Coturnix japonica: one gene and its partners. The protein of the gene in region 3 purifies or fractionates together with the protein of the main gene of each other region. This does not show direct contact. Links are inferred from orthologs where the notes say so. Each region holds a gene or a part of one and is shown on either strand. Other genes may lie near its edges.

Evidence for each region.
Region 1: the proteins of DNAJC11 (region 3) and IMMT purify together in Homo sapiens (co-immunoprecipitation; 3 studies listed by BioGRID and IntAct, with this or other methods). This does not show direct contact. The link is inferred for Coturnix japonica from reciprocal best matches to the Homo sapiens genes DNAJC11 and IMMT.
Region 2: the proteins of DNAJC11 (region 3) and ARMC1 purify together in Homo sapiens (affinity purification with mass spectrometry; 4 studies listed by BioGRID and IntAct, counting the BioPlex papers as one, with this or other methods). This does not show direct contact. The link is inferred for Coturnix japonica from reciprocal best matches to the Homo sapiens genes DNAJC11 and ARMC1.

What each region holds. Positions count from the first base shown.
Region 1 is NC_029519.1:77,504,785-77,508,431, forward strand, and holds part of IMMT (MICOS complex subunit MIC60), read right to left. Parts: coding exon 3,553-3,647; intron 3,394-3,552; coding exon 3,257-3,393; intron 2,913-3,256; coding exon 2,809-2,912; intron 2,458-2,808; coding exon 2,322-2,457; intron 1,279-2,321; coding exon 1,149-1,278; intron 1-1,148. UniProt on the Homo sapiens protein: Component of the MICOS complex, a large protein complex of the mitochondrial inner membrane that plays crucial roles in the maintenance of crista junctions, inner membrane architecture, and formation of contact sites to the outer membrane.
Region 2 is NC_029517.1:103,982,459-103,986,868, forward strand, and holds the start of ARMC1 (armadillo repeat-containing protein 1), read right to left. Parts: upstream 2,842-4,410; 5' UTR 2,679-2,841; intron 57-2,678; 5' UTR 29-56; coding exon 1-28.
Region 3 is NC_029536.1:426,193-429,839, reverse strand, and holds part of DNAJC11 (dnaJ homolog subfamily C member 11), read right to left. Parts: intron 2,354-3,647; coding exon 2,225-2,353; intron 2,016-2,224; coding exon 1,893-2,015; intron 1,238-1,892; coding exon 1,164-1,237; intron 911-1,163; coding exon 721-910; intron 337-720; coding exon 251-336; intron 1-250.

The DNA of each region.
Region 1 (3,647 bases), on a different chromosome or scaffold from region 3:
CAGGAGTTCAAGAACAGACTCCGGAGATCCCTCCTTGTTACAAGCAAGATGTAACCCAAACATCCCCACCACTACAGCTGCCTTTGGAAACCCACAGATGAACCTTTAGGTTCAGTCAAAGCGAGAAATACAAGTAAAGAAGTGCAACAGGACACTGAGAATTTCCAGGTCCTTACAAACGAGCAGTTGGGTAAGAGACAAATTCCCAGGTAGCAGTGAGAGTCACTATCGAGTCAGTCCTGTACACTAAGTAGGGTCACACTGGTGTGAAACTGAACGCCTGGAAGCTGCCGGGATGTTCCCTCTCTCAGAACAGTGCAGTGCTCACAATACTCAGGATGTCCTCCCCTTATCCTGCATTAGAAATGGTAGCTCCATCTCCAGATGCCAAATCCCATTTTCTTCAGAACTAATATCCCAGAAGATTGAACATAAGAGAGACAGCACAGCAAACTGCAGTTTCTCAACCTAGTAAGTTCTCCCAACTTCTTACAGAACAAAAACCCCATGTGTTACACAGGCCTGGTGTTTTCATTTAGCTTTGAAAATGAGTTTGTGGACTAACATTCACATTTCTAGAGCATTAAGTACCATTAAGAAAGAGGATCACAGAGGATGAGCTGACTTGCTTTAGCCATAAGAATTTAACTGCAAGCCTGACTCCTTCCCTGCCTGCCTGCAATCACACTGTGGTGGTATCTGAACCTTCCAACAACTCTGAGTAATACATTTATCCCTCTACTGAGGCAGAAAGATTCTAACTGTACTTCTGAATCACATTTCTCACTTCACTTTTATCTGTTCTAAGGAAAGCAGGAAGGAGCTCCAGCTGAAAAACCCAAGCACCTCAAAAACATGAGTGTGCCAGATGTCAGACCTCAGGCAAAGAACTGTAGCAGCTGGAAAACACCACGCAGCCATTTACTGCTTCTGTGCAGCACTGGCTGTTACTCCAGATCAACTCCTGTGTCACTCTCCTTTAGAACTAACACACTGGGATAAGTGAAGTATTTAAAGAGCAGTGAATTCACTCTTTCAGTTATCTAGAAAGAATCAGGGAGCTCAGAATCAGGGAATCCTGAAAGCAGGCATTGTTACAGCTGCTCTATGAACTGCTCTACGATTGACTGCCATCGCCGCAGACTTACTGAGCCCCTTCCAGCCCGGCTGCACATCGGGGGTGATGCTCTCGAGTTCTCGCTGAAACTCCTCTCTTGCCGTAGCCACAAGTTCATGATACTGAGCCACGATCTTGGCCTCAGACTGTGCTGCCTGAACCTGTAACAAACAAAAAAGGAGACTGGCTTATCTTCCAAGGAGACTGAAGTCATCTGAGATCAAACCTGAGTTAGTGGCAGAGATCTTTATCCTCACTTGGGGAAAAGCTGCCCTGTGACATCAAGCCTCTTATACACAGTAATTATTTACCCCAACTACACAGATCCACTTCTTCACACGCACACTGTAATACTGTAGTCAATCTGTAGCTCAGAAAAAACCAACACAATATGTTCCTTTAGAGATATCCAGCTCTACACCTTCATTACAGAATGTTTTCTACCATCAGAGCAGCATGCAGCCATCACAGCCCCAGCAGGGAGCTGCCCAACCCTCACTGCGTTCTGTACTCCCACACTTCAGAGAAATTCCCCACTGAAATTCCTCCATCAGAGCAATCCATTATCCTGCAAAAGGGCATGATTTCAACTTTACTTTTCATCCTGTTTTCTGAGCCATAAAGTGATATACCCACAAAGTCATCAGCAGACTCCTCCCCAACCTGATGAATATTATAGGTGTGCCCCAGATCCAAAGAAACAAGTTTCAAGGTTAAAAAGTAATCTCAGCAATCCAACCCTATGTCTCCCATGCCCTGCACAAGAGCCACCACCAGAACAACTGGATACACTCAGTGAGAGGACACTACGCCAATCAGCACCCTGAATAGTTTGTCTCATCTTCCTAATTCCACTCCAGCATCAGACAGAAGGAACTGCAAGTCCAGCATCAGACAGAAGGAACTGCAAGTCCAGCATCAGAAAGAAGGAAATGAAAGCTGCCCAAGGAAAGAGCAGACACTGAACAAACTGGCTGCAGAGTTCCAAGACAGAGTTCAGGCTTTTCATGCAAAGTCCTTGTCAAGACAACTCACTGGTACCACACACAGCTCAAAGACTGACTATAGCTGAAAATTGTGTTTAGAAATAGCATTTAAACTAAGAAATACTTGATCTGCTATAAAGGACGTGGAAAAAGGGGGTCTCACAAGCTGCCAATCAGTCCTTGTTCTAATGATGATGAAGAACAGCTGGAAGTGTTACCTTCTTCACTACATTGTCCAAGTCAACTATCATATGATGAAGATTTTCCTCTGCAGCAATGATGTGAGGTTTGGCTCCTGGGATCTGAGCCTTCTTGGCATTCTCAATTACACCTTTTGTCTTCTCCAACTCTTCTCTGAAAAGAAATGAAGCTGTTGATTATAACACATACAGGTCTTACTGCATAACCACATACATGCATGAGCACACATCTAATAAATAGCCAGCCTTAGGAGTGGCTCTGCTGAAGAATGGAACCAACAAACAGTGCTGTAAGACTTAATTTTACATCACAGCTAGGAGAAGCCAACGATGTTATTGACTCAACAGACCCAGAGTGCAGCAAATTGAATTCTTACAATAGGCATAATAATGATCAAATGATCCAAAATGATATTAGAAGGATTATGGGTTATTGTTTTCTTCAGTCTTACTTGAACTAAGGAGCACTGTATTTAAGTATGGGTAGGAGATACAAAGAACTCACTTGGCTTTCAGAAGGACATCAGCAGCTTCATCCACTGCCCTCCTTCGATCTTTCAGAGCCTCCTCCAGAGTGCGCCACTGAGCTGATTTCTTCTCCCCAGCAGTCTGACAAGCACAGATCGATCATTAGTGTTATCACAATGCCCACGGTACAAAATTACCCATCAGATAATAACAACACAGCTGGAAGCTCTTAAGAATTTCTTCTTTCTATCGTTTTTGTTGTGGTTTTGAACCTTGACATTGTGATTGACCACTCCATTATACCCTCTGCAACAGAAAGCAGCAGTCCTACACAAAGTGGGACATGTCAAAAGCAGAAGCACTTTATTATTAAACCCTACAACGTTTCCCAAGTGGGAAGATCAGGTAAAACTGTGACAAACATTAAACCTCAGACTTTATCCTTAGTTACACGATGAACACAAGTCCCCAGCTGCCCAATTTACCTCCGAGTTGTCCATTGCCTCCTTCAGTATTTGCAAGTGCGCATTCACTGCTTGCACAGCAGATTCCTGTGCAGTAATTGCCTGCAGTGTTACACGAGCCGTAGAGCTCAGGGCTCCTTCCAGTGTTGCTGCAAGGGCTGGAAAGAAAATACTGGAATTAACTGCAGCCTCATCATTGAAGTGATTCATTATATCTCAAGTGTCTCCTTACGTTATTTTCTGTGGCTCACAAGAGGTTGGGAACAATCCTTTTGTCCCTTACAGCATGTGTAGCAGAACTCCAGGTATGGGCTCACCTGCGATCTTCTCTTGCTCCTCTTTGTCCTGCTGGGCAAGACGAGCCGCGACCTCGTCCGGCGATCGTTCTTTTATAGCATGGGAACCCTCATGT
Region 2 (4,410 bases), on a different chromosome or scaffold from region 3:
CAGGCTCCTCACTCATAGTGGAATTCATTTTTTCCTACACCACACGTACAAAATACCTGTCAAAAAAATGTATATGGTATTAATGTTCGCTATCAATTAGAGCAGAGATAAGGTAAGAACATAAATGCATTGATTTGTTACAGGCATAAGAGTACAAAAAAAAGAAGCCTCAAGGAACAAAATTTCTAAGGATAATGATCATAGAACTTTTCAGCTGGAAACTTAAATTTCCCCTGTGGAAAGCAGATAGGGTTTGGTTAATCACATTTTCTCTTGTTTCCTTCAAATACATGCACCGATATGTATAACAGTACATAGTTTATAGCACTGATAAAGATGATCAGAAACTCCATAGTTGTCTCACACCCAATATGCAGACTACAAGTCTACAAACATCCTTCTGTATAAACATGCAAAATAAAACCTGAATTTTCAGTGCCTTTAGCAGTAATCAAATTTCACATAAAAGTGAACCAAATAAGCAGCAAAAGATTAACCCAGCATCAAGCATAATCATAGAATCATAGAATTACCCAGGTTGGAAAAGACCTTGAAGATCATCAAGTCCAACCGCAGCCTAACCAGTACCCTAGCTCTAACAACCCTACACTAAATCATATCCCTGAGCACCACATCCAAACGGCTCTTAAACACAACCAGGGATGGCGATTCAACCACCTCCCTGGGGAGTCTATTCCAGTACCTAACTACCCTTTGTGTAAAGAAGCTCTTCCTAATATCCAAACTAAACTTGCCCTGGCGCAACTTGAGGCCATTTCCCCTTGTCCTGTCATTTGTCACTAGTGAGAAGAGACCTGCCCCACACAGCTTGTGTAACACCATATCCATTTAAAGCTACAAAATACTTAGAGGTGTTGTGATTTTTTTTTGAAACTTCTGACTAGTTTGCATTCAATAAAGAAAAAAAAAGCAGGTCACACCTTGCTTCAGCCAAAGTGCAAGCCAATATTAATTTCAAATGAGACGTGTCAGTGTCTGATTCCACAGTTGTTTTAATGAGGGGTAACTACTTAACAGGCCACAGAAGCATAAGCTTAGATAAAAGAGAAGGTCTGCATCTTGATAGTGACAGAACGATGGGGAATGGATTCAAACTAAAGGAACGGAGATTCAGGTTAGATTTCAGAAAGAAATTGTTACTTCAGAGGGTGGTGAGACACCGGCACAGCTACCCAGAGTAATTGTGGATGCCCCATCCCTGTAGGTGTTCAAGGCCACGTTGGATGGGGCCCTGGGCAGCCTGAGCTGGTGGGTGGCAGCCCTGCCCACAGCACAGAGGTTGAAATTTATACGGGTATTTATATATCATAATGGTATGGGTAATTTATAAGAACTCTTCCAACTCAAACCATTGTATGATTACTTCAAAAGACAGACTGTGTGCTTCCAAAACTATGGAATGTGGTCCTTGGTGCTGCCACTAGAAACTCATGTAAGTAGCTTTATTTTAAGGCACAAAAGCATGAATAATGACATATTAAGTTGCATTCTTTTTCCCCCTGTATAGAAATAAAACTGAATTTGTAACTGGTAACAATCTTTTACCATTATTTCCCAAACAAATAATACCATTCATATATTATATTGTTCTCTTGCTGCTGGTAGATGCACGTGTAGAAGTGTCCAATAGTTTCTCACATTTTCACATTAAATAAAAACCTGCTAATTTCTCCGTCACTGGTTCTTCCTTTGGTAAAGGAAATGTGAGAAGTCAATCATTCCCCTCCATGTTCTTCCCTTTGACTGTACTATGTCCTAGCAAGATTGACTGGGAACTTCAGACCATAATGAATACTTTATATTCTCAAAATAGATGGCTCTAAATTGCTAAAAAGTCTCTATGAAGTTCAGTGTTATTCGGTACATTCTTTAGCTGATCAACAAAACTTACTCAAAGCCTACAAATGAAATGAGTTGAAGTTAATGCGAACAAAAGCCTCTGACTTTCCAGTCATATCCTGAGCACCAGATCCCTCCTCCAGCTCTATTCATCCTTATCCACTTTATCGTTATTCTTCTGATCTCCTGCACACACACGAAACCGGGGTGCCCTCACTGCAGCCTTTCAATACCTGAAGGGAACTTACACCCAGGAGGGGAGTAAACTCTTTGAAAGGGCTGACAATAGCAGGACACGGGGAAATGGTTTTAAGTTAAAAGAGGGAATTTTTAGGTTGGATGTCGGGGGGAAGTTGTTCACTAGGAGAGTGGTTAGGCCCTGGAACAGGCTGCCCAGGGAGGTTGTGGATGCCCCGTCCTTGGAGGTGTTCAAGACCAGGTTGGACGGGGCCCTGGGCAACCTGATCTAGTACATGTGTATGTTTGGTGGCCCTGCCAGGCAGGGGGGTTGGAACTACATGATCCTTGAGGTCCCTTCCAACCCGGGTCATTCTGATTCTGTGATACAAAGTTCTACCCCTCCTCACCATGTCCCACTCTTTTCCTTCCACCCCCTTCTGTCTTCTCAGTCACAACCAAAGCTAAAACCGAAGTTCCCATCTCCTCCACCCCCCACAACACCGTTATTACAGCCGGGAGCCCCGTGGCCGCTGACCAAAGGCCGGGTCCCCTCGCCGCACCTCCCTCCCGGCCAGCCCAGCTCCTCCCGCTCCCACCCCTGCCCCCCGTAGCGGCCTGCACTGCTCCCGGCCTCGTACCGCTGAACGAGCCGTCCTCAAACCGCCACAGCTCAGCCTCAGGCCCCCATCGCCATCAGGGGTCACACACCGGGACACACACGGAGCTCACACCTCTCCCGCTCCGCCACCGGGCCCGCTCGGACCCCACACATCCCTCCACGCCGCAACGCGATTGGTGCGGCGCCGCCCTCGCCTCTCCGCCAATCATAGCTCGTCTTGTTGTCGGCGAGGCGGGATTGGACAACGGCTGCGCCGCAAGGTGCGCTGGGAACTGTAGTCCGCCGCACGGCAGCAGCACAACGACGCAGCCAACGGCGCCTTCTGCAGCGCCGCCTCTTATTGGCGGAGCCCGGTCACGTGTCCGATGGACGCAATCAGACGCGGTGGCTGCCGGGTAAGGTCGCTGGACACCCAGCCGAAGGGCGGTTGAGGTCCCGCCTCCCCTCAAGCCGGCCGCCTATTGGTCGGGGAGGTGCCGGCGCGGCCGCTGATTGGCTGCTGGTGGGGTCGCCAGCTCAGTGAGAGAAGCGGGTGAGAGAGCACGGTGCTGGGGGTGGTTCGGAGCCGGCCGGGCTGCACACGGCCCCACCGGGCGGGAGCGGAGTGTGAGGGGACGGCGGCAGCGGGAGCCGCAGCGCGGGGTGACACTGCAGCGCGGTGAGAAACAACGGGGGGACATGGGGGGGAGGGGGGTGAGGGAGGTGGGGGTGCGTGGGGGCACCGAGAGGAGGTGGCGGGTGTGACGCGGCTGTTTGCGGATTGAACGTGTCACAGAATGACCCGGGTTGGAAGGGACCTCAAGGATCATGTAGTTCCAACCCCCCTGCCTGGCAGGGCCACCAAACATACACATTTACTAGATCAGGTTGCCCAGGGCCCCGTCCAACCTGGCCTTGAACACCTCCAAGGACGGGGCATCCACAACCTCCCTGGGCAGCCTGTTCCAGTGTCCGAAAGCGAAACCCGCTGATGTTGTAGTGTCAGTTATGGGAAGCAAAACATGGAGTTTTAAAGCTGCAGTTAGCTGCCGCCGGATCAGAACCAGCCCGGTCGCCATTTACATTGTGTGGGAGCCTGAAGTTGTTACTAAGAGGCATTATGGCAGAAAAAAGCATAGAACGTTCGGAATGCTTTTCCAGCCATGGACACCCTTCTGTGAATAGAACCTTTCTCAAAGGGGGAGCAGGGATGACGCTGACAACAGCAGCTGGGGAGCTGTGTAAGTCTGGCAGCAGAGTGTGGCTGTACGGTTCTGTCTTTATAACGCCTCACTGCCTGGCTTAGAAATCGGGGAGCACTTCACAGATGGGACCTCAAGGATCATGAATCCCCAACCCCCCCATCACAGACAGGGCCACCAACCTCCCCATTTAATACTAGAACAGGCTGCACAGAGCCCCGTCCAGCCTGGCCTTGAACTCCTTTTTTTATGTGCTTGGTGCTTCTTTGAAATAAATGTACTTATTTATCACAGAATCACAGAATGAGCCGGGTTGGAAGGGACCTCAAGGATCGTGTAGTTCCAACCTCCCTGCCTGGCAGGGCCACTACATACACTATTGTATAACGTTTATGTTATACAAACCTTTTCAATGTAGAGATTAGACCTTTCGTGGTCTTGTTTACTCTCCATATGTAGCTGATCTGCTGCACCGAGAGCGTTAAAGCATTCTCTTTCATTTTGGCTTGGATTTTAAGTAGAGAAACTTAAATACAAATATCACGTTTCTTTTTAAGAGAACTCATCATT
Region 3 (3,647 bases):
CAGACTACAAGAAGTTCTGCCTTTCTTACCAGTGATGACACAGAGGCAACAAGTGTGTATTTCACATCTCACTTATCTAGAGAGACACACAAAGCTGAGCCTCCAAGACACTCACTTCAGTCATTAACAGATTTAATTAAAGCAGATTCCTACAGAGTACAAAAGCACTCAATTTGTGTGGAACCTGGAGACCTACAACAGCAGAAGACAACAGATTCTGAGCAATATGAATTTCCTTTTGCACGCTTACTTGAGAGAACCTTTTATCCGCGTCTGATCCTCATCCTGGAACTTATGCTGATAACTGACCATCATGAAAGAATGGGGGATTCCCAGCTGAAATACAAGAGTTACACATTTATGAAGAACCCTCAGACATCACTGAATGTTCCCCAAAATCTGCTTTCTTAAAATAACATTTTAAGTGTCACAGAAAACAGCACCTGCCACTTCTCATCACAACCCACAACCTCTACAGTCTACACTCCACGTCCCAACCCTGATCTGGGCTAACACACGTGAAAAGTCACAATGTTGGGCACAAAGTGTTGTGCTCTTTCAAATCCAGCTGGGTGTCTATGGCAGACATTCACAAGAGAGTACCCAGCTGCTCCTTTACCCTCTATTCTCAAGCCAAATTACAGCTGGAATGGAAAGGCTGAGACCCCTCCCACTCAGAATGGCAGCACCATCCCCTGCATACAGCCACAGGATTCTCACCTGCAACGCCACAGTGAAATGGCTGGTTTTTGTGTCCCGGACAACGCTCGTATTCATGGCTGACTGGATGCCCCACCGCCACTGTAAGTACCCCATCGTGTTCTTATCGAGGTTGCGGGCAAGAACTGTGGTGAGACCTGGGCGGATCCCACGGGATGAAAACTGCAGAGCACAGTTTGTAGTGATGAAACTAGAAGAAATAAGCAAAGCCTCATCAGGATGCAGAACAGACTCCCCTTAATCTGGTAGTATTAAAATAGAAGACACTAACAAACAGAACATATGCATTTTGATTAGCACTAAAACATTACATAAAGCCTAAAACAGATACCTTTTGCAGAACAGAAAACAAATCTAGAACTAACATGAAAATGAATTTAAGATGGTTAATATTCCACACTGAGGAACCAAACATTAAGTTGTTTTTTTTTTAAACTACTTACCATCTTTGTGTAAGATTACGGAATATCTTCAGACCAAAGAGAGGCCCCTGAAGGTCTCCTGCTCCAAACTCCAACTGGTAAAATGCACAGTGACAAGCAGTTAGAACACAGGCTGTGTCAGGAGACAAAGAACTTCACAAGCGCTGTTTATGTCAGATATTTGAAACACTTCTGAGTTAACTTCACCACTTTAGTATCCTCTCTTTTCTACTAATCTTACACTCAGAATAGCAGGTATTTCTATGAGTAAGGTTGCCATGAGTAGAGGAAAGCCATTTTCATAGCCCTACAGGCAACTAACACATGCTCTGAAAACAGCCTTTGGAAAGGCCTCACACAGAGAAATCAGCAAGTCCCAGGAAACAACAGGTAACACTCCATCAGCACAAGCCAAGCTCATGATGCACGGCCTAAAAATGGGAAGGGAAAGAAATGAAGAAAAACTTTGGACTTAGAAAACAGAAGGTACCAAGTTTTATTCTACTACTAAACACAAGGTGTTTGGTTTAGTATCACTCTACAAATACTGCTACCACCTAAATCTCCAGGAGCTCTTTTCATAGGGCACTCAAGAAAGTTTGTCAGCACTGCTACCCTACATTCTGAAATGGAAGCACACAGAGGTGGAAAAAAAAAAGCTGACGTTCCCAAGAGAAAATGAAGTCTAGATAACCAAACCAAGAAGCCTGTAACAAATTGGGTATAATACATAACATCCAGCATTCTTACCTCTCCCCATCCCTTGGCAGATGTCACTCGTCTAAGAGCAAGATTAATTGATCCACCTCCATTCCCATTCTGGGTAGAGAGGTTACCAGACAGTATTGCTGTGTCTGTGGAAGTCAGCGGTGCCTGAGAAAAATGAATATACTGTAACTAATACAATCTTGATTCACATGCTATGACTATTCTACAAAGACACAGCCAAAACTGTAGATGACCATCCTCCAGTAAAGAAAGATGAGACCTCTGAGCAGCGTTCCACGTTCTGCTGGCCTGCACTGTAGTGCTTCATGATCTCAGACCCTGACCGAGCCAGCTGTGGTGCTGGCCCTCCTTACCTCAATGGACTGGGATATGTGCATTTTATTTATTTCAATCTGGGGAAAGCTGCTCCCTTGCACATCTTCATATTCTTCATCATAACGATCAAAGAGGTCAGTGGCATCTATTCCAACACTAATCGTTCCCTAAGGACGAAGCAAAGACAAATGTTTTTAAACAGAGGTTCTCTAAGCAGTAAGTATGTTGAATTTGAATGAAATCCTGCTATTTCCTTTTTCCCCAGCTGTGAATTGTAAAACACTCCCCTCAGTGAAAATGGAGGTGTCAAAAGGAAAAACACCTGAATCTATGCATGGAAATCTATGAATCCAATTTAGATGAAAGCAGCACCTCAGCTGCTCCCATCCCTGTCCTCCACAGCAGGATTTCTGTTCAGTTGCCTTTTGCTGAAGGGAGCAGTGGACTCCACAAGGTATTTTCCCTCCTGCCAAGCAGGTGAAGTCACCTTCAGAAACCTATAAGACCTGGCAAGGAAATTGGCTTGTGCACAAGCACAGGAAAAGCAGCAGATGGCAATGTTAAAAATACTCCCAGAGAACGACAGCACCCCCTATGGCACCGGATAATAGAGGGGAGCGCTGCTCCTCACAGCTTCCCATCAGCCACCTGCTCAGACCATTGAAAAAGGAAAAAAAAACTTCTCAAAGCGAGAGCAGCAGGGAGAAGCTGCAAAGCTCTGCTCAGAAGTTGGCTGCACACACTGAGTGAGCAACATGCTGAGCAGTGCACCACCACACAGCAGGGCAGGAGGTCGGTGACTGCACTTCAGAACCATTAGAAGAGTTATATGGCAACACCTTTTAAAATTACCTCCATCTGACATTCCTGTAAACACAAAACAGTTGTTAGTGATGAAATGAAGATGTGTCAGAAGAACGTATCAGCTCAGCTTTTTTGCTGGAAGACGATCCTTCTTGAAGTGACATGGGGAACCTGGCTGAGCCCTGAGGGATCTATATTTCTTAGGTGCTGACCTTCTGCAGCAGGAAAATTATGGGATTTCATTGCTCCAAACAGGAAGCAGTTCTCACATCAAGTAATGAACTTTTCAACCCTTCTGCGCATCTTTGAAAACAAAAACAAAGCTCTAAAAGCAAATAATAGGCTCAATTTGAAACCTGCCAAATTGCCTACATCTGGTTATTGCTCAACATTTCTGGTTAAAGTGCTTTACTTTGCTGAAACCATTTTGTAGAACTGACAAAATGTTTGAGATTTTAAAATAACTCGTGTTCATGTATGAAGTGATCACAGCTGTGCTACCCAATTCCACAGGAACATTGCCTGGGGAGCCATTTCTATAGGCCACCAATCAGCAGTTGCTGTAAACACCCAGATGGCTAATTTTATCACAGGACACAGAGACCACAGCTCACAACACAGTTCTCAAACTAAGCAGAAACTAAACAGAAAAGAAGG